3 linked regions of the Rhinolophus ferrumequinum genome follow. The protein of the gene in region 2 interacts with the protein of the main gene of each other region in a pairwise test. Links are inferred from orthologs where the notes say so. Each region holds a gene or a part of one and is shown on either strand. Other genes may lie near its edges.

The links.
Region 1: the proteins of KLC1 (region 2) and BNIP2 interact in binary tests that used the Homo sapiens proteins (3 or more experiments, as listed by UniProt). The two-hybrid records come from large-scale screens. The link is inferred for Rhinolophus ferrumequinum from reciprocal best matches to the Homo sapiens genes KLC1 and BNIP2.
Region 3: the proteins of KLC1 (region 2) and MAPK8IP3 interact in binary tests that used the Homo sapiens proteins (3 or more experiments, as listed by UniProt). The link is inferred for Rhinolophus ferrumequinum from reciprocal best matches to the Homo sapiens genes KLC1 and MAPK8IP3.

The regions. Positions count from the first base shown.
Region 1 is NC_046289.1:50,124,187-50,134,254, reverse strand, and holds the start of BNIP2 (BCL2/adenovirus E1B 19 kDa protein-interacting protein 2), read right to left. Parts: upstream 3,645-10,068; 5' UTR 3,370-3,644; intron 1-3,369.
Region 2 is NC_046289.1:1,651,981-1,661,798, forward strand, and holds the start of KLC1 (kinesin light chain 1), read right to left. Parts: upstream 4,417-9,818; 5' UTR 4,331-4,416; intron 3,858-4,330; exon of another isoform or gene 3,661-3,857; intron 158-3,660; exon of another isoform or gene 84-157; intron 1-83. UniProt on the Homo sapiens protein: Kinesin is a microtubule-associated force-producing protein that may play a role in organelle transport. The light chain may function in coupling of cargo to the heavy chain or in the modulation of its ATPase activity.
Region 3 is NW_022680357.1:3,489,283-3,498,955, forward strand, and holds the start of MAPK8IP3 (C-Jun-amino-terminal kinase-interacting protein 3), read left to right. Parts: upstream 1-5,464; 5' UTR 5,465-5,592; coding exon 5,593-5,910; intron 5,911-9,673.

The sequences.
Region 1 (10,068 bases), about 48 Mb from region 2:
GGGTAGATAAAAACAGTTCAAATAATTGAGAGAGTACTGTTCTTGGAAACACTTTATCATCAGCAACTGTAAGAACAGGAAACAAACAAGAAAGGAGCAATATAAGCACAACTACTTTGAAGGAAATCAGGATACTGCTGACACAAGTTAACTGTGGCTGTTTCCCATTTTTTTGTTCATAGACTTTGGAAATTAGAATGCGGAAATAATACTTTGCAATGCTATTTGTTAAAATAACCTAATGCAACAGGAATAACCTGATTTCTCAATAGACTTGTGGCAGTTGTGGCACGTTATTACTGATGTCAGGTATAAGTGGAGGTCACAGATAAAAATTCAGACTCACGTCAGTGAGGTTAAAAATCAAGGAGATAATGGATTTCCTCTTGACACACCTTCAGAAGGCAGGTGTAGTGATAAATTCAACCAAGAAGGGGTTTTCCCCATGCAGCTTAGCAATATAAGCAAAAATTAAACATTAAGATCATATTTAAAAATGTCTGAATTATAATTTCACATGGTAGTTTTACTATGTAGTTTAACACTACTGCTGGAATAGGTAACCACATCTATGCTGAAATCAATTACAACTGGCAGAAGGAAATGCCCAGGCAAGGCTTTCACTGCCCCATTTAAGTGAAAGGGACTTATCCTAAATATTTATGTTCACTTTTTTCTATGAGACTGGCAACACGGGTAGCACCACAGGAAAATAATTTAGGCCATCCTATGTATTTATGAAGATCACCAAAACACCCCTGGAAAAAAATTCTACATGCTTTCTTGAGAGCAAGGTTACGTAGGTTTTTAAGAATGAAATGACACAATGTCACCTTACAATAGCCATCAAAAGGACAAGAAATAACAAATGCTAGTGAGGATGTGGAGAAAAAGGAACCTTCCTGCACTGGTGGTGGGAATGTAAATTGGTGCAGCCACTATGGAAAACAGTTTCAAAGTTCCTCAAAAAATTAAAAATAGAACTACCACATGATCCCTGTAATTCCACTTCTGGGTATTTATCCAAAGGAAATGAAATCACTATTTTGAAAAGATACATGCACCCCATGTTTATTGCAGCATTATTTACAATAGCCAAGATATGGAAGCCACCTAAGCGTCCATCAGTGAATGAATGGTTAAAGAAAATGTGGTGTGTGTACAGACACACACACACACACATACACACACAAAGTGAAGTAAGTCAGACAGAGAAAGACAAATACTCTATGATCTCACTTATATATGGAATCTACAAAAAACCACAAAACTGAGCTCATAGATACAGAGAACATATTGGTGGATGATAGAGGCGGGGGGCAAACCGAGTGAAGGGGGTGAAAAGGTACCAATTTCCAGTTATTGTAAGTCCTGGAGATGTAATGTACAGCATGGTGACTATAGTTAATAATATTGTATTACATATTTGAACATTGCTAACATACAGCGTTGCTAAGATACAGGTCTTAAAAGTTTTCATCACAAGAAAAAAATTTTTTGTAACTATGTGTGGTGATGTCATTTCATATTTCATAATATATACAAATCTCGAATCATGTTGTACAGCTGAAACTAATAAAATGCTGCATGTCAATTATACCTCAATTTAAAAAATGAAATGAGATACTCTATCAGAAATGTTCAGACAAAATTCAAGAAAAATTACAATCGTGCTGACTTTTCTCAAAATTGTGAAAATAAAGCAAAGTATAATTATGCCACCTATAAAAGGTACATTTATTAACAGTAAGAACATACTGGAGATGCTCTGAGACCTTTAAAATGATTTAAGTCTAATAACTGATCTCTGACACTTTGTTGCAGAGTTACAAATATTATAATTTTGTAATATCGTCATATTATACTAGTATTCTGCTTTACATAAGCTTAACAAAATACCTTTTGATCCACTGTCAACCACGGTTAGTTTATTAGATCTGGCTAAATATACTACTTTTCTTAAATGCCTTCCTTCTCACTTCTTTTTACCAGCATTACTTCAGATGAAATGAAGAGAACTGCTTTCCCAAAGGATGCTTTTCATGTTTACTAACCATTTGTACATTCATCATCTCCGATGTACCAACCAATAATTTTATGAAGTATAAAACACTGGTGTTATTATCCTCATTTTATCTTATATATGAGGCAAATAACACTATATCCTGGTTCCCAGACCTAGACTGTTTCTAACACAGCACAGTATCTCCAGTTCACTGGCAACTTTATACAGAATAAGCCTGTAATGCCAGATTTGGTTACACTTAGCTTCAAAGCTGTAATGCCTACAGGTGATCTAGTTCAAGTTCTATGTTTGCAGAAGCGGACCTGTCATACTTCCTGTCTAAGCCCAACAATATTAGACTGCAACAGAGATTATGAAGACCAAGAATAGTTTAGAGAAAACGTAAAATGACAACTAAGGAGAAGATGTGTAAGATCATCAAGAAAACAGTCTGTAAGGTAACTAAATTGGGTAACTTCAGTTACAATTTTGAGGAATCGTACTCATTTACAAAACGAACACGTTTAATTTTAAAAAATTTAAAAAAAATTAAGCATTAGGAGAAATAGAGATCCTAATCAAAAACGATGAGGATGAAAAACCACTAAAATGCACCCACACTTCAACTACCTATATGGAAGGCGCTATGACTACCTAGATGAACATGACAAAAGCTATGCCCTCAAAGAACTCCCGGGACAGACAGACAAGGGAAGTTTCAAAGCAACGTAACAGACCCAAATAAAGTTTTCATTTAACATGAGCTGGGCTAATAGATCTCCAGTGGCATCAGATGCATCCAGGAAACCCAAATCATTTTTGCCCGTTATTTTGGCAAAAGGTAGTGCCTGAATCAACGCAGGAACCCGGCTTTTTCGCGTAAGAGATCTATAAAAGCCCTGATTACAAAAGCCGTTTCCGTGTTTTATTCTGAGGGTACGAGGCACATCAGAAGTCCAACCTCCTTTGTTCTACACCAAGACGGACGCCGGTCATAACAGGGGACCAACGTGGCCCAGTCACCGCACCCAGACCGGGTATGTGCGGGGGGGCCGAGAAGCGGGCAGGTTCCATTCCAAGCAAAACCACCACAAACGGAAAAGGGGGTGGATGGATAGGCGGGGGGGGGGGGGGGGGGACAAGGATGGTAAATGCAAACAGGAGCCGAGCCAAGGGCGGGGGCCTAAGCAGGGCGGGGATCCGGGAAGCGTCTCCCGGGCAGGTTCTATGGCGCCCCCTACAAAGGATAATCCTCTGGGCTTCCTTTCTCCCGCCGACCGCGGACACGAGACCCTCAGACGCCCGCCCCCAGGCCTGTTCCCCGCCCAGACCCGCTGTACCCAGTTTTCCCGAGCTGCACTCACCCCGGAGGAAGCCTTGGCCCCCTCGTCTTCTTCGCCCCTCCAGGCCTGCGACGTGGGGCTGACGGCCAGGTCGCAGAAAGTAGTAGCGCCGAGCGGAGCCCGCTCCCCTCGGACGGCAGTGGAGACCCGGGCCCGGTATCCCGATCACAGCTGCAACGGTAGCGGCGGCGGAGCAGCTGACCCGGATGCAGACAGCTGCCCGGGAGGAAGTGACTGCATCCCCACCGCCTACAGGCGCAGCAGCCGGCGGGGGCGGGGGCGTGGCGTCTCCTTGAAGCCCGACAGTCCCTCCCCCCCCAGCCGTCGCGGACCGCCGCCTGCGCATGCGCCTGAGCGGCCGCCCGAAATTCCCGCTTGACTGGCGGGAGCAGTTGACGCCTTCTTGGCGGCGCCTCTGACGCTGCAGGCGCTTCCTTGATCTGTGCTGACGCTCCCAGCGTCTCAAAGAGCGATTTTAATATTATTTATGTTGGCTTTATTGATTGCTACAATAACTGTATATTATAAAATGGATGAAATGAGGGGAGGAAAAATAGCTGAGGTCTCATTTTGGGGAACGAGACCTCAGAAGAATCCAGACTTTGGTAAAACTCGAGGGTGCACAACTTTGCTCTGCAATAGTGCTTCTCAAACTATATGTAGGCTGGAGCGATCGATTTATTGTTTAATAAAATTTTCAATGAGTCATGGACCATGGTTTGGTAAGATAGAAACATTAGAAACATTTTATCCTTAGAGTCTGTAGTCATCAAATTACCTGTAAAATTGTCATCAAGATTTCTAAATGCTAACTCAATTTCTGTACTGTTCTTACCGTAGACCAGTAACTAACAGTTCTCTGAAAGGCCCAAGTGTATGGATCATACTTTGAGCAGCAACCCTGCTCTACAACTTCAAGGAAATAAGATGACTTTGGAGAATATCATGATCCATCAGAAATCTCACCCACTAAATCCCTTCAAAGGAGCAGCAGTCAACTATTTGCATAAGGCATTCGGGAATGGGGCCTGAGAGGAACTGAAAACCTCAAAAATTTAAATCATTGACCCACAATGCAGCTCCCAGGTTTAATTGCTTTAACATTTACTCACTGTTGGCAGGTGGTTAAACTCTCTGTGTTTCATCTATAAAACAGGAAAAAAATAATATCTCATAGGGTTTTTGTGAGAGTCATATACATTAGATCAGTACTTGTCATATTGTAATCATAGATAATTATTATCTGCCTCCTAGAAATTTTGTTAAATAGCAGAGAAAACAAACAAAACTAATCAATTGATAAACAGCTTTCACTGAACAACTTCTTGGGCCTGTTCCTGTAAGCAATTTCACCTACAATTACAGATATTTCATAGTTGCATATTGTGCTTATTTCAGTCCTGCAATGGGTAGTATTCTCCACAGGGTGGCAGAAAATCATTGCAAATCATATACAGTGTAATCTTCAGTTTCTCATTTCAGAAACTTTATTGTTTAATAAGTTCGATCAGTGTTTGCTTTGGTTTTGAGTAAGCCATTCTGTTTGTCTTTTTATCCCCATCTCATGAATTATCTATACTTATTGTTGAAGCATTAGAAACTACAGATGAGGCAAAAAAGGTAACAGTATTAATATATTTATGTATATCGTTTCAGGATATACATAAATGTATTAATTTATATTAAATTAAAATAATTTGTATCTAACAGTTTAGGATCTAATTTTTTCTTTTCATTTCAAAATATACACTTTTTTCAGGTCAATAAGTATATTTCAACATCATTTTTAATATGGATAATTTATGTACTAACAATTACTTATAGAACATTTAGGTTGCTCCATTTTTTATAGTTAAAAGTTACACTTTATAGAATGTTTAAAAAGTCAGAAACAGAACTAATATTTTCAAACAATATACTAGTTAACATTTTCAAATAATATGCTCAATATATTTTCCTTCAACTTTTAGGTGAAATACCTTAAACGATAGGTCCAATTGTTAATCTGAAAAAGGTAGAAAAAGGATACTATTTACCCTGTGTTTCCAGATTTTTGGATAATCTTTACTGTATCTTTATAATCATTTGTTTTTTATATGTGCCTCCTTGAATAGGCAGACTTGAATACTTAGACTTAAAAATTCGGAAAATAATTCAGGAGGAAGAAGTGTGGCTTTCAGTCCCTGAGTAGAGGCATCAGTTGGAAAGTAATACATTAGCTCAGAGCCACCATCAACCTTATCCTTTGTGGTTTATGGCTTTGGTGTTATGTTTAAATCGGCCCTCCTCACCCTAAAATTATACAAGTAGTCATAGTTGTTTATAGTTCCATCTTTAAAAAAATATGAACACTAAATCCAACTGGAATTGTGTATAAATGCTTATTACATGAGGTAGGGAATCTGATTTTACTAAACTGATGACACAGTTTGCCTAACATCATTTATTGAATAATCCAGTAGTTCTTGAACTCATGGAGGTCTGCATCAAATGAATGTTTACCTTCAAAGTTGCTGTCTTAGGTCACCCACTTCATTCAAGTATCCATTCACAAACCTTTTGACAGACTTTTGCATCCATTCACAAGTCATCATTGGACAAACCTTTATTGAATAATATTGTGAGTCAATACCTTTCAGCTCTGATGTCACAAATAAAAACGTCACAATATCTACCTTCAAGGAACTCAGTGACTCGTCAGGAAGAGGGGCAAATGAAGACAGTGAACGATTTGGTGGATTGAGGTGAACTTGACACTTTAACTGGCAGTTAAATAGAAGGGAGCAAAATAGATTGGGGGTAGGTGGGAGGTGGGGTCAGTAAAGGAAGACTTTCTGAAGGAGGTGATCTTGAGCTTAACTTTTTCACTGCATTCATTGATTTCAAGTTTTTTTTTCAAAATGTGTCAAAAATCCACAAAAAATAAAAAGTCGATATTTTGACTATTTTATGCATTTAATAACATTTTGAGCTGCTTTGTACATAAACGACATTTTCATTTTAAACCTTTGTAATATGGTAATAAATTTACCATTGAATTTTAGCAAAAAATACTAAGTGGCATCAATTAAAGTATAGATAAATTAGAATCTAATGGCATTGATGACATAAAAAAATCTATTGCAATTACAATCTATTACAAAAATTTATTCTGTTAAACAATGTGGCATACAAAACATCTTTGTTGTTGATAGTGCAAGCCACAGGAAAATATCCAAACGTCACAGCAAAAGAGTTTACTAATAAGAGGAGGATCTTCCAAGCAAAGGCACTGACATGTACAAATACACAGTGGCTGCTAGGAACTGCCTTCTTCTTCCTGCCTGGAGCACAAGCAGTGGGACAATGAGTGGGTGTGAAAAACCAGCCACAAAAATAAGTAGCCGAAGGCCAGATTGAAAAAAGGATTATTTTAATGCCAAGGATTTATTCGGAGCCATTAAAATGAGCAACATGGGAAAGCAATCAATTATTACTTTATAATTGTGCTCCCAAAGAAGAGATTGAAACATGTCTTGTACAATGACAACATTATTAGGATAAGTCCTAAGAGAACAACTTTGACGGAACACTCATTTGAATATATGCTTTAGTGCGTGTGCTAAAATCACTCATGTTACTTTGTCATACTTCATACATCAAAACAAAAGCGTTCAGCCAAAATAGATCTGAAGAGGTGCTGAGTCTGTGCCTGCTCCCCATCCCACCCCAACTTGGACCAGAGGTATGATGAGAGATGAAGAAGACATTTGAGACAACACTAAGAAAATGCTTGCATAAATTCAAGTTCCAGAAGTCATAATGTACATTAGATAAAACTCTTGAATGCTGCTATACTCTTCACTGTATAATTTTATAGACAGATTATTATTTTTGCTTATGAGCATACAAATTCAGTGACGTTTGGCAGCTCAATTTCTGAAAAAATACGAAGTATCCTTTTTACATGGGCTGATGATGTCTTTGCTGGTTGAGCTTGAGGGTAAAACTGGATATAATTATATATTCATTTAATTATTCATAACTTGAATATGAGATGAACGTGTATATATTTTTCACTTATTCACTTTATAAAATTCAAAACTAAACCCAGCAGCAGTTTTGTCTTTGGCATGGTGACAAGTTTCTTTTCTACAATGAACAGGTAAAAGAAATGGTTCCAGACAGAATTTATTTTATGTGCTTCCCTATTTCAGAAAATCTAATTGGACTGCACTCAACTATTACACATCACTGTTGTGTGATGCTTCCACATTCCACAGAGTACACAGAGGGAAGCAGCAGCACATATTTGTACTGTGTTTCCCCCAAAATAAGACCGGGTCTTATATTAATTTTTGCTCCAAAAGACGCATTAGGGCTTATGTTCAGGGGATGTCATCCTGAAAAATCATGCTAGGGCTTATTTTCCAATTAGGTCTTATTTTCGGGGAAACACAGTAAGAAATATTTCCAGATGCAGTTAGATTATGGCCATTTAAGGGGAAAACTAGGCTTATTTGCTGGAGAATTTTAGTTCACAGGACTTGAAGGATTCAACTTGTTCAGGGAAATAGCTAGGCCATGGGTTGAAATCGTGTGAGAGCAACAGTTCAGATCTAGACACAGTCGTGAGGATGAGATGTACATTTTATCCAACACAAATTAGGAAAGACTAGTACTACCTTAGATCACTCATCAAAACTAATAGGATAAACAAATCTTAGGGTCCATATTCAAGTCCTCTGTGAAGATGTGTCTGTAATATCATAAAAGAAATGACAAATATGAATTTAAAACTACCTGAGGATATACATTTTATAATATAAAAGCATGAAATTTAGCAAAATCACACCAACGATTAGATTGGAGATCATGGTTATCATTTGGATAGAAGATGATGGACAGAGTTCCATTTACCCTGAAGAGGGGTCTTTGCAAAAATAATCGCTTATTAATTAATGTTTTGCAAAAGTACTGAGACATAAGTGGCTTATTACTAAATAAGCCAATTACTTATTACAATCACCATAATTGGCATATTACTAAAATAAAGATTAATTTTGAAGAGGGAAGTCGATTTCTCTCTTCTCCTTTAAGATATGAATTGTTGGTAGAAGTATATCCATCTATATTTAGAAACATACAAACAAGTAATAGCCTCCAATTAGAAAAAAGCAGAGTTTGATTGATTGATTGATGATGATTTTTACCAGTGATAATACTTTTTAAATTCTTTCTGAGCTGGATAAATAAAAGTGAGAATTGATCAACTAAGGTAAACTCTTCTGCAATCAATTATAGTCTCTACATCAATTAACACAAAATCAGATATAACACTGCCATTCACCAAAGCATTAATCATTTATTCTGCATCTTTAGAGTCAAAGCATAATTTTATTTGTTTCAAGAAAACAAATGCATTTAAAAATACACAAACAACTGTTGAGTCAATAGGGAATTTTATTCTATTTTACAAACAAGGTGCTAACATGGTTCTATGTGAGGCAAATGTATTTTTAATTAATAAAAATATAAAAATTAAAAGGTGATTATCATATATGTGTATTACATGTATATTATATGTGTGTGCGTTGTATGTATATTGCACATATATGTGTATTTTATGTATATTATACATATATGTATAATATATGTACACATATATGTAAAATTGTGAGATTGCCATTCCACCTGACAATGACCTTACCCAGGCATTATTTTAAAAACTTACAAAATTTTATCTTTTGTGTGTAGTGGGATATGAGAGAGTGTGGGGGTGAATTTGAATCAATAAGATGACTAATGCCTGAAATTACATTATTAGTCTTTCCTTAATTAGCTTATGACATTGATTCATGTTTAAATGCAATTCTTTTTCATAGAAGGGTTTAACACATAAACCTTATGCTAAAATGGAAGACTGGGGACTGGATTGGGATTAGGAGAGGCATTCTATTCCTTATTCTGCTATAGTTTCTGTGACCTTGGACAAGTTACCCATCTTCCCCAGACCTTCAGTTTCCTTGTCAGTAATTTATGAGGTACCAAAGACTCATTTTACTTAATTTAGCTTTTTGCCTAAAGCCGGGCTTATCATCTCCTTTTCTTAAATTTTAGGAATTCACTAAAATGTTATGTGGATGTTTAAGTACAAACGTCTGAAAATTACACGTTACATAATACTGTTTATCTTTTTTTTAAAACGACATAAAAAAGAAGACAATCCATATACATACATAAGTCTACGCCAATATGCAATATGCATATGCAATATGAATTCTCTAAGACTAGGAAACAGGCAACAGCAAATGAAGAAACAGATGGCAGTCCCAGGAAGTCTCAGGCATTGCCTTGAATTGATATTTTTTGTTTAAGGGCATTTCTGAAAATGAGGAGTTCTTTCAAAGTTTAGTTTATAAGATTGCTTCTTCTTATAATAGTTTTTGCTTCAGTTCTTTGGAGGAATAGAGGACACATGTTGAAATGAAATCACTTAAAACTTGTTCCTCTTTTGTCATTTTAATAATTCTTTTCGTGTTTTGACTATTAAAAATGTCATTCTCCAGCAAACCAATGTCTTGGCATAGTTATATGTATTTTTAAAGTATTAATAAAAATGCATACTATATTTTTAGGTTCTTATAGCAAGGGTATAATATATTTTCTAAAGGAGTCTCAGGGGCATCCTAAATAAGAGACCTTTTTATTAAATTAATAAATCTATCCAAAAATAAGCTT
Region 2 (9,818 bases):
ATTTCCACATTACATCAGCAAAGTCAGGGAACTATCCAAGCGTAAAACTGAAGTAACTAGGGTATTTTAGAACCAAGGAGGATGGCCGGTTAGCTCAGTTGGTTACAGCGTGGTGCTAGTAACACCAAGGTTGCTGGTTCAATCCCCTCACGGGCCACTGTGAGTTGCGCCCTCCTTTAAATAAATAAATAAATAAATAAATAAATAAGCAAAGCAAAGAAAGGCGTATTTGAGTGCCAGCAACCAGCTTTGCTTACTCCACAATTCTGACTCAGAACCAAGGAAATAACTTCTACTTTACATACGCACATCACTCAGCTTAAAATGCTTGTCCTATTGATACTGACTTTATTCCAGTACAGGTAAGATCCCAAGTATATTCAAAAGCACAGATCCAAATTGCTTTCATCTGCCTCCAAAAATTAGTTAAAAATAAAATCCTAAACCTAATTTTTGATCTAACAGTGTAGGAACCAAGAGGCTACAGGGCAGAATGACACAGATGCACTGGAGAAAGAATGCAGGTCATCTCTGAATCAGCCCTTCCTTCCTTAAGAAGTAATGGTCTCAAGAAAAATGTAGGGCGTGAATAACCTCCTGGAAGCCAAATCCACTACATTATTCTCTCCAACTCTTCCTTAACCTCTTGGCCACTTTGAGACTGACCTACTCCTCTTCCCTCATTTCCCAGGGCTCATTCGTTGTCTCTACCAGTCAGAAGCCCTTTAGGAGAGGGTGACAGACCATGGGACTGGCTAGCGACTGACAGTATGATGAGGTCTCTCAAATCTTTGCCTGCAAGCCTAAGTCTTGGTCTTGAGGGCCTGATCTGCCTCTCCAGCTGCCCACCTGCACGTTTTGGATAGATTTACCCAACCCAAAACCAAGCTTGAGTGTCCTCCTCCTCCTCCCAGGCTCCCCATCTTGGTGGGTGTCACCAGCCAGTGAGTCACCATATTAGAGAAGAGCAAGTCATTCCAGATGCATTCCTTCAATACACATTTATTAAGTGCTTTCATGCCAAGCACCAAGAATGAATACGATCCGTAAACACCCCACCCTCGTGGAGATTATGGAGGTAAGTGGAGGAGACAGACAATAAACTAAATAAGAAAAGAACAAAAGAAAATTATGCATGTAATAGGTCGTGAGAAGGGCTAAGGACCACGTGGGGAAGCGTGGACACACCGATAACCCGAGGAGCAGACGGGATGAGCAGGGAGACGAGGGAGAGACGGGCGGGGGTGCTTCTCGGACATTGGCAAAAACTTCAGCAGGGCGTCATGACCCCACTCAGGTTTAGCAGTTTGCTCTGGCTGCCAACGCTACCCATCACTCTCTTCCCCCTGCAGCCCCACCCTTCCATCTACCCAGCCCCAAATCAAGGGCACTAATCCATCTGTTCTGGTCCTACTGGCACTACCCTAACTCAGAAGCTCTCCGTCCTCACTTGGGGTTAATGCTTTCCTAGCTAGTCTCCTCTCAGTTCAAAGCACCTGCCGCACCACCCGGCTCTTTCCGAAACGCCACGGGACTCCTTACGAGAATCCCCCGTCCTCCTTCCTCCGCGCAGGACGCAGGGACGCCCCAGGCAAACTCTCACAGCCTTTCCGATCTCCTCTTCCCCCTCTCCCCCCACCCAGCAGGCCCCTCCACGCAGCACCACCGTCCTCCGGAGCCACTACTTCCAACCCCACCCGTCATTTGGCCAATTTGTATTTTTCTTCCCATCTCACATTCGGAATCTGTCCTCAGGGCACTCGGCACCAGCTAACCTAACCTGCGGCATTCCTCCACTTCCGGCCTCCCTCCACACTGTGAGCTCCTAAAGGAGCGACTGTCTCTATCTCCATATCACCAGCTACTAATTAGCACATCACCTGCCATTCAGTTGGGTCTCTACAGACCATGTTTAAGACCATGTTTTCACAATCTTAATATGCTAACCATCTGACATTTAACACTTTCCTGTACTTTCATTTACGATGTTACTAACACTTCTTTATTACATAAAGTTCCGGTTTCTTACCATATTCCGCGTGTTTTCCGATTATACAAATCCTACATTTTATTGAACCTTTTACTTTTCTATTTCTGGTATTCTTTGTACACCATTATTTTGAGACAGTTTATAGCCCCACATGAAAAGCTACATATTGACTTACCTGTTTTTCACATATGAAACACGCTTAAGAACGTACAATTTTTAAGTCACCGTGGGCAAGGTTTTATTTACTGTGGCATAGTGAAGATATTACGTGCCCCTCCCCACCCCCCCAGTGGCATTTCCTTGCTGGAGACAATCACTGTCCTGACTCCCATGCTTATCCTTTTCCCTTTACCAGGTCCACGGTGCTTTGGGAAGACACTGCCAGGCAAGGGGAGGTCACCGGCCAGGGTCTTCCACAGCCCTGGGGAACACAGGGCAAAGGGCGCCAGGCCCACTGCAACATGAGGCTGCACTTAGACGGTGGCAGGAACCGGCTCTTCAGAGCACCTGCCCTCCCACGTGTACTAGTTCCCCACAATCTGAAATTTGCAATGCTTAGTATCATTGTATTCTTAGATACTTAGGACTCAGAACAATGAATCAATTTTCCCACTCCGACCTTGTTGCCAGTCCCTGAAATAGGTAAATCCAGAACTGTAATAAGATTGTGAGACTTGAGGATGTCGTTCCAATTTCCCGATGGGTTTCTCACTGAACTGTTACAATGTATTTTGAGGTAATGACTCTGATCGATGGCTAAAGGAAAAAGCCCTGGGTCCGTGCAGAGAGTCAAAGAACCAACTGCCCTTTTACACAACATTTTAAAAGGTTTATGTCAAATTTTCTGTTGTTCACACACTTTTAAAAAATGACTTTTGCAAGTACTCCTTATCAAACGCTTAATATGTAGTCTTAATGAGCTGTTTGAAGAACGAAACAGCAATAAGCAACACCACAAAATTTCTAAGAAAACTACCTGGATCTACAAAGTTCAAGTTATGAGGCCATGCAATCCACCAGGCGTTAATTTTACCTTTTTAATGCTTTATTTTAATATTTTTAAGGAAAGAGCTGCACCAAATCTGACCACCGCCTAACTATTCCAGGACCGGGCTACTGCAAGTTTAGCAGGAGCCCCGCGGGCCCGGGTGAACACCGTGGATGAACCGTTTCGCGTCTGCCTAGTGAACGCAAGGGTCGCGGAGCAGGAGAGGTTCCGCCGGCCTCTCCGGGGAACCCCGCACGCCTCCTACCCGCCGGGTCGCGCGTCGCCCGCGAGCTTGACAGGCGCGTCCGCCCAGGGCGGCGCCGCCGGAGAGGGCGGCGGCCGGAAGGAAGAGGGAGGATTCGGACAAAGCGAAGCCCAGCGGGCGCCCCTCCCGGCGCCCCCGCTCCGCCGCGCCGCGTTCCCGGGGGCGGCCACAGCCCCCCGCGCGGCTCCGGAGCCGCAGCTGTTCCCGGAACGGCCACCACGCCCGCAGCGGGGCCGAGCCAGGGATGCTGGGGCGGGGCTGCGGGACCTCAGAGGGATGGGGACGAGGCGGACCCGGGCCTGGAGGGACGGCGGCTGGGGACGGGGATGGAAAGGAATGCACGCGGACGGGGACGGGGCCCGCGGCGGAAAGCGGCCCGAGGGGACACGGCTGAGGCCCGAGGCCCGCCGCACTCACCGTGCTGCTCCCGCGGGCCGCGCGCTCGCGCTGTCAGCACCGGAGGCCACGGGCGCGTGCGCGGACCGGGAGAGCGCGGGGTGCGCTGCCTCGGCCGCCTCAGGCGCGGCGCCGCGGTCACGAGCGAGGGGCGCCGGCGCTGCCGCCCCGCAGCATCCTCGGCCGCCCGCGCGCGCTGTCCCCTCGGCTCCCTCGCGCAGCAGCCGTCCCGCGCCCCGCCGGCTCTGGCCCCGCCGCCGAAAATGGCGTCTCGGCGTCCCTCCCCCAGCTCGCGCCCCGCCCCACAATGCCGCGCGCCGCCGTGACGTCACCCGGCCCGCCGCCGCGGGTGGGCAGAGGGGCGAGGCGCCGGTCGGTGGCGGCCTCCCCTCGAGGGGGAAGGACTGCGGCGGGAGCACGGGCCGGCCCTGCCTCCCCTGCGCGGCCGCTCCCGCTCTCACAGCTCGGGAATAACGTGCGCTGTGTGCCGAGCCCTGTCTTCACGCGTCCTGTGCCCCTTTGAGTCTTTCCAGAACGCCGGGAGGGCTTCCTCCCGCCCTCTAAGGAAGGATCCCGAGGGGCTCGGCAAAGCCCAGGGGCCCCTCTCCCTCCTCCAAGAGCCTGGCCCCCCAGAATCAAAGCTCTGCGGACTTCCCAGGCCCTCCCCTCAGCACGAGGGCATGAACTGCACCTCAGGCGGGTAGGAGGGGAAGGGACGGCCGCCTGACCGCTGGTGCCTGGCCGAGCAGAGATGCCACCCACTGCTGTCCCACCCGACAGCAGCCATCGCCAGTGGCCACGACCTCCCGCCCGGCCTGAAGGGCAGTGCTTCCAGGTCAGAGAGCGCTGCCGGGCCTCATCCTGCTGCCGCCAGCTCTGCAGGCCTGACTCAGCAGCCAGCCAGGGGGACGTGCTGATTCAGTGGGCAGGGCTCAGCTTTCTTTGGCTGCCCCAGCTTGGGAGAACCCCCTCCTCCAGGTGCCTGCCGAGGTCTTCAGTGCAGGGCCCCACGGCATTATTAACCAGAGGGGTTCCTGAGCCAGTCCGCCACCCCCGACTTCCTTTTGAACGACTGTCCTCTTCAGATGTTATCACCCCGCACCCGCAGCAGGTTTAACCCTGCCATTACGCAGTGACCGGGAAGTAAGCACCGGGAGGTCCAGTTACTTTGCTTTCATTTAAAAATGCAAAGGTCTGCGAAAAAGGGAAGCTCTGCGGTGACACAGCGTTACTGGGCCCAGGGAGAGGCAGTGAATCAGAGTCAGCCCCTCCACACTCCCTTAGTGATCCCGCCACACCCCAGTTTGGATGTCACCTGCTCCCCACAACCACCTGGAGGCTGCGCACAGCAGCTGTCACCAAAGTGCTCTGGGGAAGAGCAGAGCGGGCTGCACGAGGCTCCTTTCTGCCTCTGTGACTCTGGGCTCAGCAACTGTCCCCAAGCTATTAAATTGGTGCAAAAGTAATTGCGGTTTTTGCAAATTCTTCTTTAACCTTTTTAACCACAGTTGTACTTTTGCACCCATGGGTGGCCAAGAGTCTACCTCACTAATATTGCTTTAGCCCACGCCGTCTGTCCCCATTGCTGCCACTCTATTTAGGCTTTATCTGGCTCTCTTATCCTCTCAACAAGTATTTATTTGTTGAGCTGCAGTGGTCCCCACGCTAAGAGCCAAGATTCGTTGGTAAACGGGCTAGTGAGATTCCTGCTCCTGCAGTGCCATGCAGAGAATGAAGGTAAGATGAAGTGACAGACGAGGCCAGGTGGACAGGGTGTGAACTGACAGCACTCCAGACACAACTCTCCAGGCAGGGGTGAGTCTGGAGAATTGGGGGAAACAAAGGCCAATTCATCCACTCTCTTCCGCCCCTCCGGGACCTGGAAACGCTGCCGTGTACCCATCCCCAGGTCTCACAGAGTCTAGCAAACGCCCACTCCAGCCGCCCGCCCGTGCTGCCCTGTGTGTCCTCAGTCACTTTCAGTCCTCTGATACTCACAGCAGCTCCAACAGCGGCACCACCATCCCCATTTCACAGATGCTGCCACTGAGGCCCTGCAAGTGCCAGGCTGCTTCCTGAGTCCCAGAGAGGGATCAACTCAGCTTTAGGTATCAAAATGCAGCATGGGTCAGGTGCTGAGGGGGAAGCTGTCGTCCCTCAGGGATCAGAGGACTCATGGAAGAGGGACAATCACACGGCAGGTGGGAGGGACCTGGGTAGGAAGTGCAGGAAGAAAAGCGCAGTGCCCCCACAAGGACGGAACAAACCACAGTCTCATTCGTCTCAAGTGGCAAGTGGAGGGATGCTGTCACTTGTTTAAAGCAGTCACCTTTTTACTGTCAATGTCCGTGGATGCGTTAGGGGCAGCCCTGTGGGAGACAAGGATGCTGGAATTTCCCTTGCATGCCGGGGGTGGGGGGTGGGGGGAGTGGTCTGCAGTCCAGTGGGTGGCCCCAGTCATGAGTTCCTGAAGAAGAGGGGAGGGGGGGAAGGGGAAAAGCAAGGGGGAGGAGGAAGGGAGGAGAGAAGCTAGGTCTGGTGCCTGCAGAACGCTTGCCCCTCCCAAACCCTCTCCCTCCCCCAGCCTGGGCACTGACCGGCCTGCCAAGGCTCACCAATGAGTGGCAGCTGCTCTGGGCCCAGAGAGGAGCCTGGCTTTAGGGCCAGTCTGGGCTCCTCCTGCCTCGCTCTGCACTGCAAGTCATGCCCTGTTTGGTATCTTGCTTCAGTTCTGAAAATGGCATTTATCAGAGGTCCAGGGTGAGCTGCCATCATTAAGCTCCACTGACTGCTCCCTCAGACAAAGGGGAAACAGCACCCCTCTGAGGTGGAAGAGGGGGGATGAGGAAGTGGGAGAGCTCCAGGGAGAAGCCCAGCCCTCCCTGTCTCTCTCACACATTTCTAGCTGCAGGGAATTGAGGCCTGGGTCCTGCTTGGTGAAGCTGGGCTCCAGCAGGACTGGCCAGAGTCCCCTGCATTCCTGCCTAGCCCCGCCCACAGGCCCACTGGGCCAGCCTGATCCCCAGACACAGCTGGGGCAGGCTGTCCAGTTCCAGGCTTCAACTGTAAGAGGGCCTGGAAGCTTTCCCTTTTGTGCTTCTGGGACCCCTGAGCTGCCATGTAAGAAGGCCAGCTCCTTGATGGAGAGCCCCGCCTTCCAGTGTCCCCTGGGGGCACCAGGCCTGAAGGAAGCCATCTTGAAGGGTCCAGCCCAGGTCACAGAGCCATCTGTGGACCCAGGATGTCTCCAGATGAGGACTGAGCTCAAGGGCAGGCAGGGAGGGACTGCAGTCTCTGCTGTAAAAAGAGCCATCTGGCTGTGTGTGTGTTTTGTACATTTAACACGGCGTGTTGAGCTCCAAATGTGGCCCTGGACCAGAGCCAGCTGCTAGGGATGGTACTACTCCCAGTGCCCAGGAGAATATTTCTTACTTCACGTCCTTGCAAGGAACCATGACATGTGTTAGAAAAAGTGCAGAGACTGGACCTGTTCCTGCGGTTATCTAAGCAGGGTGTGCCAGGAGCGGGGTGGGGGGGGGGGTGACAGCATCTGTGACTGAAACCATGTCAGTGTGGCTTGATAAACACTATGATGGAGATAAACAATGGGACCTGGGGGCCAGGTCTCAGGGACATGTCAGGGAAATCTGGTCTTCTGCATTGGAGATTTCCTCCCCCTCAATATTTTATTATGAAAACATTCAAACATACAGAAAAAAGTTGTGCAGTGAACACCCATGTACCCCCCTGAGACTCTGCAATGAATATTTTGCCCTATTTGCTTTATCACTTGTCTCTCCATTTCTCCAACCCTTTTTCTATCCACGAATCCATCTTTTTCTTTTCTCTACTTTTCTTTTCTTTTGGATGCATTTCAGAGTAAGTTGCAAACATCAGTCAGGTATCCCCAACCCTCCCCAGGGTACAATGAACTTACTTGCATCCAGTGCAGCAGGCGGGAGGTGAGAGAGGGTGAGAGTCAGCAAGGGGGCAGGGAATGAGGAGCCAGGGCAAGGAGAGTGTGAAACCAGGAGTGGGGAAGGGGACTTAAAGTGGCTGCATCAGATGCCATTTGAATGGACAGCTGGATGCATGGATGGATGGGAAGCTCCCAAGTAACCCCTCGTGGTGGGGTGGGGGGGGAGGTGTGTGTGCGGGCAGGTTGGTGGTAGGTGGCCAGGGGCATTTGTGCAGGAGTGGGGAGGGCATGCATGCATGCAGGGTCCTCACCATCAGCAATCGCCTGGCAGTGCAGGAGCCCCACTCTGGACCCTGCTCCAGCACATTGGGGACTCCAGGCTGCAGAGGGAGATTAGATGGGGGCGGGGGGTCACAACTCAGGTGGGCTGCTCAGACCCCATCATAGGGCTATGTTCCTGCCCCCATTACCCCCCATATACTGAAGCTCTGCACACACGTCACCCTTTCACCCCTAAACACTTTTAGCATGCGTATCACTAACGGAGTTGAGTATTTGTTTCTAGGGAAAACGTACGCAATGTGAAATGCACAGTTAGGCTACCATGGATGAGTCCTGACAAACACTTCCCCTTGTGTAACTACACCCCTGCAGCACGCTGGGCCCTGTGGCCACAGCACGTTGGCCACCCCTGATTCTCACCTGAGCCAGCCAATCCCAGAAGGGGGTGGACTTGTTCAAGGACAAGCTATGGGGCACCTGAGAACAGCAGATGGAGAGCTTCTTCCGGTTTTTACACAAAAATAGCCACGCAGGTGCCAGGTCTGTCCCACAGCAGCACAGGTTTCTCCTGGCCCCCGGCTGCAAGCCCCTCTATGGACAGGAGCCTGTCTGACGCCTGACCTCACGTCCCCAGGAGCTCCCTCCACAGAGCGTGACCTCCTCCGGCCTCCTACCACTTTCTCCAAGGTTGTTGGCTCCATCCAGTCAGGCCAGACTCCTGTCACAACTGCTCTGAGCCTTTGGGGGCACAGACCCCCCTTAATTCCTGTGGTATCTTCTGCCCCTCCTTGTTCCCACAGACCCCAAACCTGACTCAGGTTCTTGAATATGGTGGTTCTCAGTCAACGGAGGCTAAACTGAATGAATGAGTGAATGAATGAGGGAGGAAACCGTGGACACCCAGCTGCTGGATTTCACAGGTCCAGAAGGAATTCTGGTCTTCATCCGCCTACCCCTCCTAATTCTGCCTGCAGTGCCCGAACACTCCTGGATCCTGCCATGGTGGGGGCTCCATGTCCTGGGGCCTTCTTACCTTTGCCTCTGGCTGGCATGCTCAGACCTCAGCCTGGCTCCCTGTGTACCATGTTTCTCCAAAAATAAGACCTAACTGGAAAATAAGCCCTAGCATGATTTTTCAGGATGACATCCCCTGAACATAAGCCCTAATGCGTCTTTTGGAGCAAAAATTAAGACCCGATCTTATTTTTGGGGAAACACCGGTAGGAGCAGAAATGCCTGCTTGGTTCCACATATCACATCTTTGTACCTCATTGTCTAGAAGAAAGAGCCTCTCACCTCCCACCGTCAGTAAACTCCCCGGCTTCACTGGGCTTCTATCTCTCAGGTCACAAGCCCGCTTAGATCCCACCCTGGCCAGGAGAAGGCCTCTCGAAGCTCGGCTTAGCTGACTGTGGGGGGGGGCACCCTGGGAATATGCACAGCATGATGGGGGATGGGAATGGAGGTGGGGGCAGCCCCAGACCTCTCTACAGGTGCCTTTCTAAGCTCACCTGGCCCTGTTCCCTTGGGCATCACCCCCGGGGGTGGAGGTGGGAGGGACTTCCACACCAAAGCTGGGGTGGCTCACCCAAACCAGCCTGGGCCCCACATCCCACTTCTGAACTGGCTTCCTCTTTCCTCCCCCAGTCCCCAGCTGCCAGACACACCTGTCTGTGTAAAGTGCAGTTGTGGACACTGTTCATGCTTGTTTTCTCTCTCAGATTTCTTAATCTCCATATGATCTGGTGGATTCACAATCATGTTTGGGACAAGAGGGTCACTTCCGCCGGAATCGCCTCTGTGTTGGCCCAGCCAGGACCACACGACTCCAAAAATGCCCAGGAAAAGGAGGACCTGTTAGCAGGAGTCCCGCCGAAGGTGGGCTTATAGGGTCCCCCTAGGAGCAGCTGACACCCAGCCGATGGGGCAGCCTCTGTGCCTGTCACCTGTGCAGGGGGAAGGCCAGGCCCGTGACCAG
Region 3 (9,673 bases), on a different chromosome or scaffold from region 2:
CTAACGGGGTGTCTCTGGATCAATCCCCCCTCAGTTCCTAATGCTGTTTACCTGTCACAGATACCTCCCCGTTCCTGGGACTACCGCTGCTAAACCCCGAGGCCTTTTTTTCACTCAGCCCCAGTGTGTTCTGCAGTGTTTTCTCGAAACATCTTCATTGCTTTTCCTTGACAGCTGTCAACAAAACCCAAAAAGTTCTCAGTCTTATGCTTTATAGGGAGAGTTCATCCCCCGATCCTCTGATAGGAATCTGACTTTCACTCGCAGGGACTGGACTTGGTCTCTTCACAGACCGGTTTTGATTGTGAATGGTTCCTTTTTTCCTCTCGTCCTTTTTAAGTCTTGGCCTGTGCTGTTCAGCAATAATATGGACGGTTCCTTTATCTGCAAGGCCCAGGTACATCCAGGTAATAGGGTTATTTCAGTCCTTCATTTGTCTTACTTTGTTCCTGTTGACATTGGGGAAAAGATGCTTGAGAGCCTTGGGTTCGTAGGTGTGAATTCTTTAATAATACCTAAAGAGCTATTCTAAAACACCGGCTTTACAGAAGGGACTATTGACTTTGGTCTGTTTCTGACACCTTTCTAAAAAAAAGCCAGTCACTCATGTACACCAAAGAAGAAAAGTTTGCTGAGGCCGCCCTTTATAAAGCTTTGCAGAACCTCTGGACCACATTCACAGTTTCCAGGAGAGACTTAGAGACCTTAGGCCAGGAGAATAACTAGTTTGGCTGCAAAACCTCAACTGGCCAATTCCATATTTGCCCAAAAAAAAGATAATGGGTTGGCAAGAGTCGTGTTGCTTTAATCTGTCAGGCAGACGTTTCCCCCTTTCAGCCTCCTAAGGGCTAGTCTATTCACTCGTGTGGTGGTGGCTGTTAAAAGTGCCTACAGAGCTAATAATGCCAGGTGCTAGAACTGTCTTCGTCGTTATTAAAATTGAGAAAAGCAACAACTGTTCAGTTACATTCACAGTGGCCGGGCGACACACTTAAGTGCCTGCACGAGCCGCCTGCCAAGCCCCACTTCTTACAGCCCCACTTCTTGAGGGCATCCGCATGTGGCTTTGTCAACCAAAGAGTCTTCCCTCCTTTCAGTTGCCCTGCTGTCTTTGGAGCCAAGAAACACTCACTCCATGTGACTTTGTCAAGTACTTCCTGTCTCCATCCTTCAAATGGTCGTTTATAAGAATATTGTTTGGAATTCGGAGTATTTGTTCCCCCATTTCAAAATGTCATAAATGGCAGTGAGCTTTTAAGCGCAAACACACTAGTTTAACTTATAATGAAATGTTCCAATGGTGGAAATGAACTGCAATTTATAACTCTTATTTTTTAATACAAGAGAGTGATTTGTGGATTCCAAATTGGGTTGCCAGAAAGAATCCTGACACTGGTGCTGGCCCTTGGGGTTTCACCCCGACCCTCACTGTCGGCGGAATGAGAGACTCTAGTTGTGTCCACTGGCAGCGATTTCTGGGGTGGAGATGGGGGAATGCAGCGATGGGAAGAGAGGCCTGGTGGAGTGAGGGAAACGCGCTATAGGAAGAGCCTCTGGGCAGCAGTGACAATTCCCTGCCTTCTGTTTCTCCCCATCTTCCCCCCCTTTTCCTTCCTGGGGCTGCAGCAGTGCGTTTAGAGTGCCTGGGTGGTCTGGTCACCGTGAGAGGCAGAAGACAAGTTTGTGCTCACATGAGCCCCGGTAGGGGTGGTCACCTGTATTTGGAAGATTTGTTAACTTTTAGCATCCTGCTCCCAACCTCTAAGCCGCATTGAGAAATTACCAGTCTGTATTTTTATTAAGCCTGAAAAACTTTTTATGTGCATTTGGTGCCAACTTTTTTTCTAGGGCTGTATCAAAAACAACAAGAAAGCTGTACTCACCTCACAATGTAATTTTGATAGGAAGACTTTGTTACTTTTACAAGGTGGAATTGGGTATAACAGTTGAATAAAACTTAGCAATCAGGTACTCAGCATCTTTGCCTAGTGTGTGTGTACCTGCGCTTTCCTCAACATCTATTCTCCAGAGTGCCTGACCTCTGCTCCTTCATTGATGAAGGGGTTTGCCTTTTTTTTCTTCCCCCATTTAGCCAGAGGATGCCCAAATTAATCTCAAAGACTATAGACTTAGATTTTTTTCATTTGAAAACCAAAGACTTAGCTTTGAGTAGAATGAGCGGGAATATGCAAGTGTTCTTTACAGTTTCTATAAGTTAAAGATTTTTTTTCTCTTCCACCACTTTTTCCCTTAAAGAACTGAAAGTATTGAACTTGCCTCTGAGTTGGCTTTGAAATGCTCCAGTGACAAGCCTTGTAATAAATAGATGAGGTGCTGAGCTATTAGCATTTGCTTGTAGGTTCAAGCCCTGCAGAGAAAGCAGATTGAACATCTTTCCTTCTTACAGTTATTTTCCTATGCCCTACAAGCAAACATAATGTACATATGATGTGGGTTCAGGAGGCTGAAACCTCAGGCTTCCCACCTGGAGAGTTCCCCTATAAGAGGCTCCACTATTCTGCCTGCTGAATCGGGGCCGACTACCAGGACAGCACTTCAGAAAGAAACCCAACATGAGGTTCCCAACACAGTCTCCATTTGTTCATCTGAAAACATGTTTCGGGAGTGCAGAGCTTGTTCCAAGAACTGGATTAGGCTCTGGCAGCATTACATTACCTATTTGTAGCAGCCACTCCAGCTGCAGGTTAGCACTGAGGTAGTGTCACAAGCTGTTTGTCTCCAGAGGTGAGGCAATGGCTAAGTCTGAAAGGACTAAGGTAGTTCCATCTGTGTTGTGGTGGGGGTGGGGGTGAAGCACATCAGTGATTGCCACTTCAAGTCCTGTGCCTTGTTCAGAAATAACACTGGCTCTTTTGACAGGGCATAGCTTGTTCTATTATCTTTGGCAATCAAACCTTTAAGGGTGTGTATACCTCCTGTGTTACCCAGTTCATTTCTTCTGAACGCACTACGTTCTTAATCTTGAAGCATTCTTAGAGATTAAGAATGAAATATTCCTCTTTCATGTGTGACTAAAAAGTGCTATCTAAAATTAAACATTAGGAAGAAGTGAGGGACATTACAGGGACCTCAGTGACTTTAGCAGGGATTAGAGGCAGATGCTTAGAAATCAAAGTAGAACTTTTCAAACCTGTGTGCCCATCTTACATTTTAGAGTCTTGTAGTGAGAAAAACAAAGTTGTATTCCAAATTATCTTTACAAATCTAAAAGGAAGCCTATTAAGAAGTAAGTTCTAATTCAGTTAGTTTCAATTCTCGGGAGTGTTCTAGTTGCATTCTAAAGTAAGTATAAGGGCGAAATTCAGGGAATCAATAACGCAGTTAGACTTAGCTGGTTTGTAGTTTAACTCACTGCATAGCTTGCTATCTAGCCACCTGTAATTAGACTTAGTTTGCAGTTTGAGCTATCCCGATACTCATGTTTTCATTTCTCCCCTCACTGATTAACTGAAGAACTCTGTTCCCTTGCTGAAGACTACCCTACCTCGTAAATGAATATCCTAATCCGGGAAAGAGCAATTTCTTAATCCTCAGGCGCCCGGACGCTGGAATCCTATTTACAACTTCTTGCAGTTTTTACTGGTTACGCATTAAAGTGTCAGGCCTCAGTGGCCGAGTTCGAGTCCAGAGTCCGGAGATAACATCGTCTTCAAACAGACTAGGCCCCAGGAAGGATGTCAGCCCTAAAACCTACCAGACTCCCCCTTTCCTATATAGAAAAAGCTAACCTGAGGTTGGTATAGCTATCTACTCTAAGACTCTGGACTCTGTCGCGGCGACTCCCACTCCCGTGTTTCTTTCCTTCCAAGGCAGCTGTCATCTTTGGACACTGCCATGGGCATTCTCTCTGCACTAACTTTAATAAAAACTTCCTTTGTAGAGTCTGGGACTGCTTTCACCTTTTGCGAACGACCAGGGGTTAATTCCGTGCCACGACAGTAAGCATCAACAATTATCCAGCATATCATCTTAAAACTTCATTTTGATTTAACCAATCGCAAGGAACAAATCAGTCTAACCACGTTAGTAATAAAAACATAAAGTTGATGGCCAACTCAGTTGGCTTCTCATTGGGGTACTGGCAGCTGCCAGAGGTCAAATTGCTGAAAAAGGCCGAAGGCTGAAGTCTTTAAACATTCCTCAAAACATTCTCAAACTTTCTCTGTAACTTGCTCACCAGCAAGAAAACATTTCACCTGTTTGTCCTGGCTCATTTTGAGGATATTGAACAATTCTACATAACATTTATCACGTGCTTCCCGTTTGCAAGAGACGTTTCTAAGCCCCTTTCATGGATTAGTTTATAACATTCAGAGTAAGTTGGTAATGTTTTTAGGCTCAGTTTTACGGTTTGGAAATGGAAATTTAGGATCATTAATGTACTTAGTAGCTAGGATCAAAACCCAGGCAGTCTGAATCAGACTGAAACTTCACTTTACCTTTTAGTTAGCAAATTAGGGTGAGCAAATTAGGCTGTAAGGGGAAAACGTGTGTGCTAGCGTTTAGGGCAAGTTCACTGACTGGGTGCAATCAGAGTAGGATGAGAGGATCTTAGGATGAACTGACCTCGAAGCATTTTGTTAGGTGAAAGGCAGGGGTGAGAGCATTTCTGTTAGCGTGAAGCTGTCACTAATGGGCTTTTTTTTAAAAAAAATTAGAATTTCACACTACCAGTGTGGCCTCCAAGCTGAAAGTTGAAGTCTTGGGTTCATGCTTTCAGAAAATCAAATAGGACAAATAGAAATGTAACATACAACCGTTGAAATTTAAAACTCAGTGGATGAGGTAAACAGCTAACACACAGCTGAAGTGAAACTGGGAAATCGAGGGAAGTGACACAGAACGCAGGACATCGAAGCGGACTAAGTGAAAGCTTGTTCCTGGATTTTAGGATGAGACGGACAGCTTGCACGTGACAGGAACCCCTGGAGGGACAGTGAATCGTAGAGCCACTGTTTGAAGAGCTGGAGTGCTCCCTGTGTGGAGGGTGCACTACTGTGTAGTAAAACTGAAGGGAAATCAACCAGGTCAGCACCATCACCACCTCGAGGGGTGCACAGAAAGAATGTCCGTTTCTCAGTAAGGGAGGATGGGTGCACGGATGCTCGTTTAAGTCTTTAAACCGCACGCAACCGTCTATAGATGCTCTTGGGACAGATGCTAAGTCACTTTGAAAGTGAGCCGGCGTCTGGGAGCTGCAGGGGAACGCGATTAAGGCGACAGGCGCTAGCGGCTCGCAGCGCGGACAAGCCTGACCGGAAGTGCACCCTGCCCGGCTCGGCCGAGCTTCCGGCCCAGAGACCACCTTCCTCGTACGTCACGGCCCCTGCGACCCCTAGTGGCGCGGCGCTGCGAGGCCGCGGCGAGACCGGCGGGCACCACCCCCTCTGGCCGGCGGGCGGGACTTCCGGCCGCTGAGTGACGGGCGCAGCATCAGGACCAGCAGCAACGGCGGCGGCTGAGCCCTGAGGCGACAGCGGCTGCAGCGGAGGCCACGGGCCGCGGGCGACGGGCAGCCGGGGCGGACGCGCCGGCAGACAGCGAGCCGCGCTGGCGGCGGCGGTGGCCGCGATGATGGAGATCCAGATGGACGAGGGCGGCGGCGTGGTGGTGTATCAGGACGACTACTGCTCCGGCTCGGTGATGTCGGAGCGAGTGTCGGGCCTGGCCGGCTCCATCTACCGCGAGTTCGAGCGCCTCATCCACTGCTACGATGAGGAGGTGGTCAAGGAGCTCATGCCGCTCGTGGTCAACGTGCTGGAGAACCTGGACTCGGTGCTCAGCGAGAACCAGGAGCATGAGGTGGAGCTGGAGCTGCTGCGCGAGGACAACGAGCAGCTGCTCACCCAGTACGAGCGCGAGAAGGCGCTGCGCAAGCAGGCCGAGGAGGTGCGTGGGCCGGCCGCGCGGGGACCCGCGCGGGGACCCGCCCGGGGACCGCGGACTCCCCGCCCCGCGCCGCCCGGGCCCCCCCGCCCCGCCCTCGGCCCCGCCCGGGAACCCCGCCCCGCCCGGCCCCCAAATCCCCGGAGCCCGGCTCCCCTTTCCGTCCTCGCCTGGTGCTCCAGCCCGGGGCTCGGAGCCCGGAGCCCTGAACCCCCAGGCGCCACCCAGAGAACTGGCAGCCTAAAAAAGTCCCGAGCCTCTGGCCAGGCCTCGGTCTCCTCTCCGATACCCACCTCTCACTCCAGGCGCCAGTTCTTTTTGCGTTTGTGTATATTTTGCAAACCAGTTTCCTAGACCCCAATTACTCTCTCTGGTTACTGCATTTCTAAACCCTCCCCGAAAAGGGATTTCTGATCTTACGGTTCTGCAGCGGGAAGAGGGTCTGTTGTCAGGAGATCTCTTCCTTGTCCCCACTCCAAGGTTTTGAAGGTGTGTGACATGGGTCAACTTGATAATTGGCGTAAACACATAACGAAAGCCACAGTTAGTTCGGCTGCTCCGCTGGCACCAGGTGAAAGACTCCAGGTTTCTGGAGGTGATTTCTTTGCCCTGTAGTTCCCTCAGTTGGGAAGGGAGATTGTTAGCTCTCTGTGGAAAAGGTGAGAAATTCCAGTCTGGCTTCTGAGGAGCTGGAAGTCGAATTTTGAAATATTTGTGTTCTAGGATATCTCTATAACCTGGAAGTCACTTATTTGTGAATCCGTTAGAGGAACTGTGCATTGTAGGGAATACCACTTAAGTTCGTTGATCATCAGATACTTAGCGCTGACTAAATCTGTGCCAGACCCAAGGGGACTCAGGGGACGTGGGTTCCCATCCCTGCTTTGCCTCTGTGACCTTGCCCACGTCTTCTGCCCGCTCTGCATTTTGATTTCCCATCAGTTGAATGAGTCACTTGCTCTAGATTTTCTCTAAGCTCTGACATTCTGTTATTCCAGGCATTAGGTGATGCTCTTTGATTTATGAATAGGAAGTTTCTTATTAAATGAGCTAAATTCCTTTGCAGTTAGTTTGGCTGAATGCATTCTTGACTTCAGCACTGAAGTCCAAGATTGTTTCAGTATTTCGCCTTTTTCCTGAACCAGAGTGGTTTATGCCTTAAGCCCAGTTTAAAGCATGTTTATGAAGATTAACAAGGTCTTGTATTATTCCTACTTAGAGTGATTTGTTTTGCTTTTGGGTTTTATGTGTCTGTCAAGAAGCTGTTGTCTATTGATTGGGGTGCCAAGCTCCAACAAAACTGAATTAAAGCTCTCAAGGGGATGCAAGAGCTCGTAGGATTTTTGAGTTCAGTGTGGTCCTAGACATTTACTGGGGAAGGAACTGGCTCCGTGAATGTGGTGGGCGGCCTGGACCAAGGTCCCACGTGCCAGCAGAGCCAGGTAACGACCCAGTCTACCCTGACTTCTGGCCTCGGCTCTTCCTTCCGTGTCATGCTGCTGTGGAAGGTCAGAGAGCTGCACCCCCAGAGGACTGGAGGCTGGGGCTCCCCTCGCCCACCCATGGGGCTATGGCTGCCTGCCTAGTTGGGCAGTGCCCTCCACTTCTCTGACCACTTTCGGTAGCCATTTGATGCCTGGGGTTTCAAGTAGGTTTGTTTTCTTTCATCTGCACTTATGTGGTCTGTACACAGTGGATGAGAAGGAACTAGAAGGGAAAAACCAAGATGGACACTCTTGAGGCTAAGAATTGTAACCTTGTAGCTTAAGAATTAGCTCTGCATGGATGCGGTCTCTGCTCTGCTCTGTGCAGTTCAAGTGCAGCCACAAGCGAGTGTACGTCTGGCCTCCCACCTACACTCCCCTGGACTGAGCTGGGGGCAGGGGTGCCGGGGTGCGTGTGGTTTGGAGGAGACTTCCTCTGAGGCTGAGACCCACCGTCGCCTGAGCTATTAGGAGCAGCTCCACAGAGCTTCCATGAAGCAAACAAATGCTTGGCCAGCCAGCAACGAGGCTCTGATTAGATGTGATTAGATGTCCACCCGTGGAAAGACCTCAAGTGATGTTATAATTAAAGAAAAGGGCCACATCCTGTCACCATTTTGGCACGCTAGCTCGTTCATGAAACCCAGCAGACATGCATGTTTAGTTTTGTGGAAAGGACCAGTGTGCACTGAATTGAGATCACAGATATGTATCTGATAACACAGGAGCTGGCAGGCACGTCACAAGCTATAGGCATGTTCGTGTTGCAGAGTAGCTCCTGTGTCCCGGCCACTGTGCTCTGGAAGGCTTAGTCAGAGCTGGGTAACCTGAGCTGCCAGCAGCCTTGTGAGCAGACAGAACCTGCAGATTTTTTTTGAAAGGCTTGAGCAGAGCAAACAACCCTGTCCTCTACTTTTGCCCGTAAAAACCGCAGCAAGAGATTGCAAGTATGTTCTGATCCTGGGGTGGCTTCTATGTCCTGGGATGGCTCATTGCATAGGAGTGATGGTAGCTAGAGATACTGGGGTCCAGGGAGAGGGCCGAAGCCCTGGAGTCCCCAGATGCAGGCTTGAGTGCCACCAGCCCTGCCCTTGGGAGCTGCATGCTCAGCCAGCCGGTCTTCCCCTCTCTGGCTGCAGTGGCCGCCTCTGTAAAGCAAGTGGGTTGCCAGACAGGGCACGTCGCTTTCATCTCAAGTGCCAGGTCCCACTGCTGCCTGTTGTTTGTCTGGAGAATTGTGGAGTCAGGGAGGAGCACCTTAATGGATTTGTGGGGCAGCTTTCGTGGACAAGCACTGGGCGTCTCAGTCTCTGATGGTGCAGGTTCTGTCGGTAAGCGAGACCGGTGAGTCCTGCTCAAGCTTGCAGAGGTAATTGGACCTACAGCTGGCTTCTGTCATTTCTACAGAGGCCTTAGCAATGCTGAAAGCTTTTAAAATCCACCAAGTTCTTTCCCATTAGAAAAGAAGGTTGGAAATGGGCAGTTGAGTGAGCTAGCTGGAGAGCTAATAGATGCCCCTCGGTAGAGTTGCCCAGGGTAACCTGACGGGGGAAGTAAGCGGAGGGCTCCATGCGCTCTGTTTCCCTGGCCTGCAAAGAGCTCTCTTCCTTGCAGTGAGCAAGCACTTAACTTACGGAAGGAAAAATAAGGTTTGCGAGACAAGGTGTGACTTTAGTAGCCATCATTTGCCTTAAAATCTTCTTTGCCCTGAAGAAACTGCTAGCAACACCCCCCGTCCCCAACCCAACGCACTACAAGCAACTCCAGTGGATGTGTTGTTGAAGAGACATATATGTAGGTTATTTGCTGACACTGTGGCATTTGGTGCTGTGTCAGGAAAGCACATGACTGGAGGAAAGTTTGACCCCAAACTGTTGTTTTCTAGTTATATAAAAGTACTCCATTTCATAGAAGAGCATTTGGATAGGATCAAGCTGGAGGGGGAGAAAAGGCACAATCTTGCTCCATAAAGATGATCGTTTTGCCTTTTTTTCATAGGCAAATTAATACATTGCATCAGAAGTTTTTCTAGTAAGTTCCCCACTTCTTGGACAAGGTATGTGATGTGTTCTGCCACACTGTAATATGAAGAGCAGTTTTTAAAAACTGTTTTAGATAAAGCCATTGAGATTTGGTGGTGGAGCTGCCATCTTTCCTGCCTCCAAATATTGGTCCATTGTAGCTGTGCCTGACTCCAAAAATATAACAAAGTCTCCCCCCCAAAATGGAAAAAATAGGCGTAGGAGAGTAGAGAGGTGCTCCCCAGCCAGAGGCAACATGTG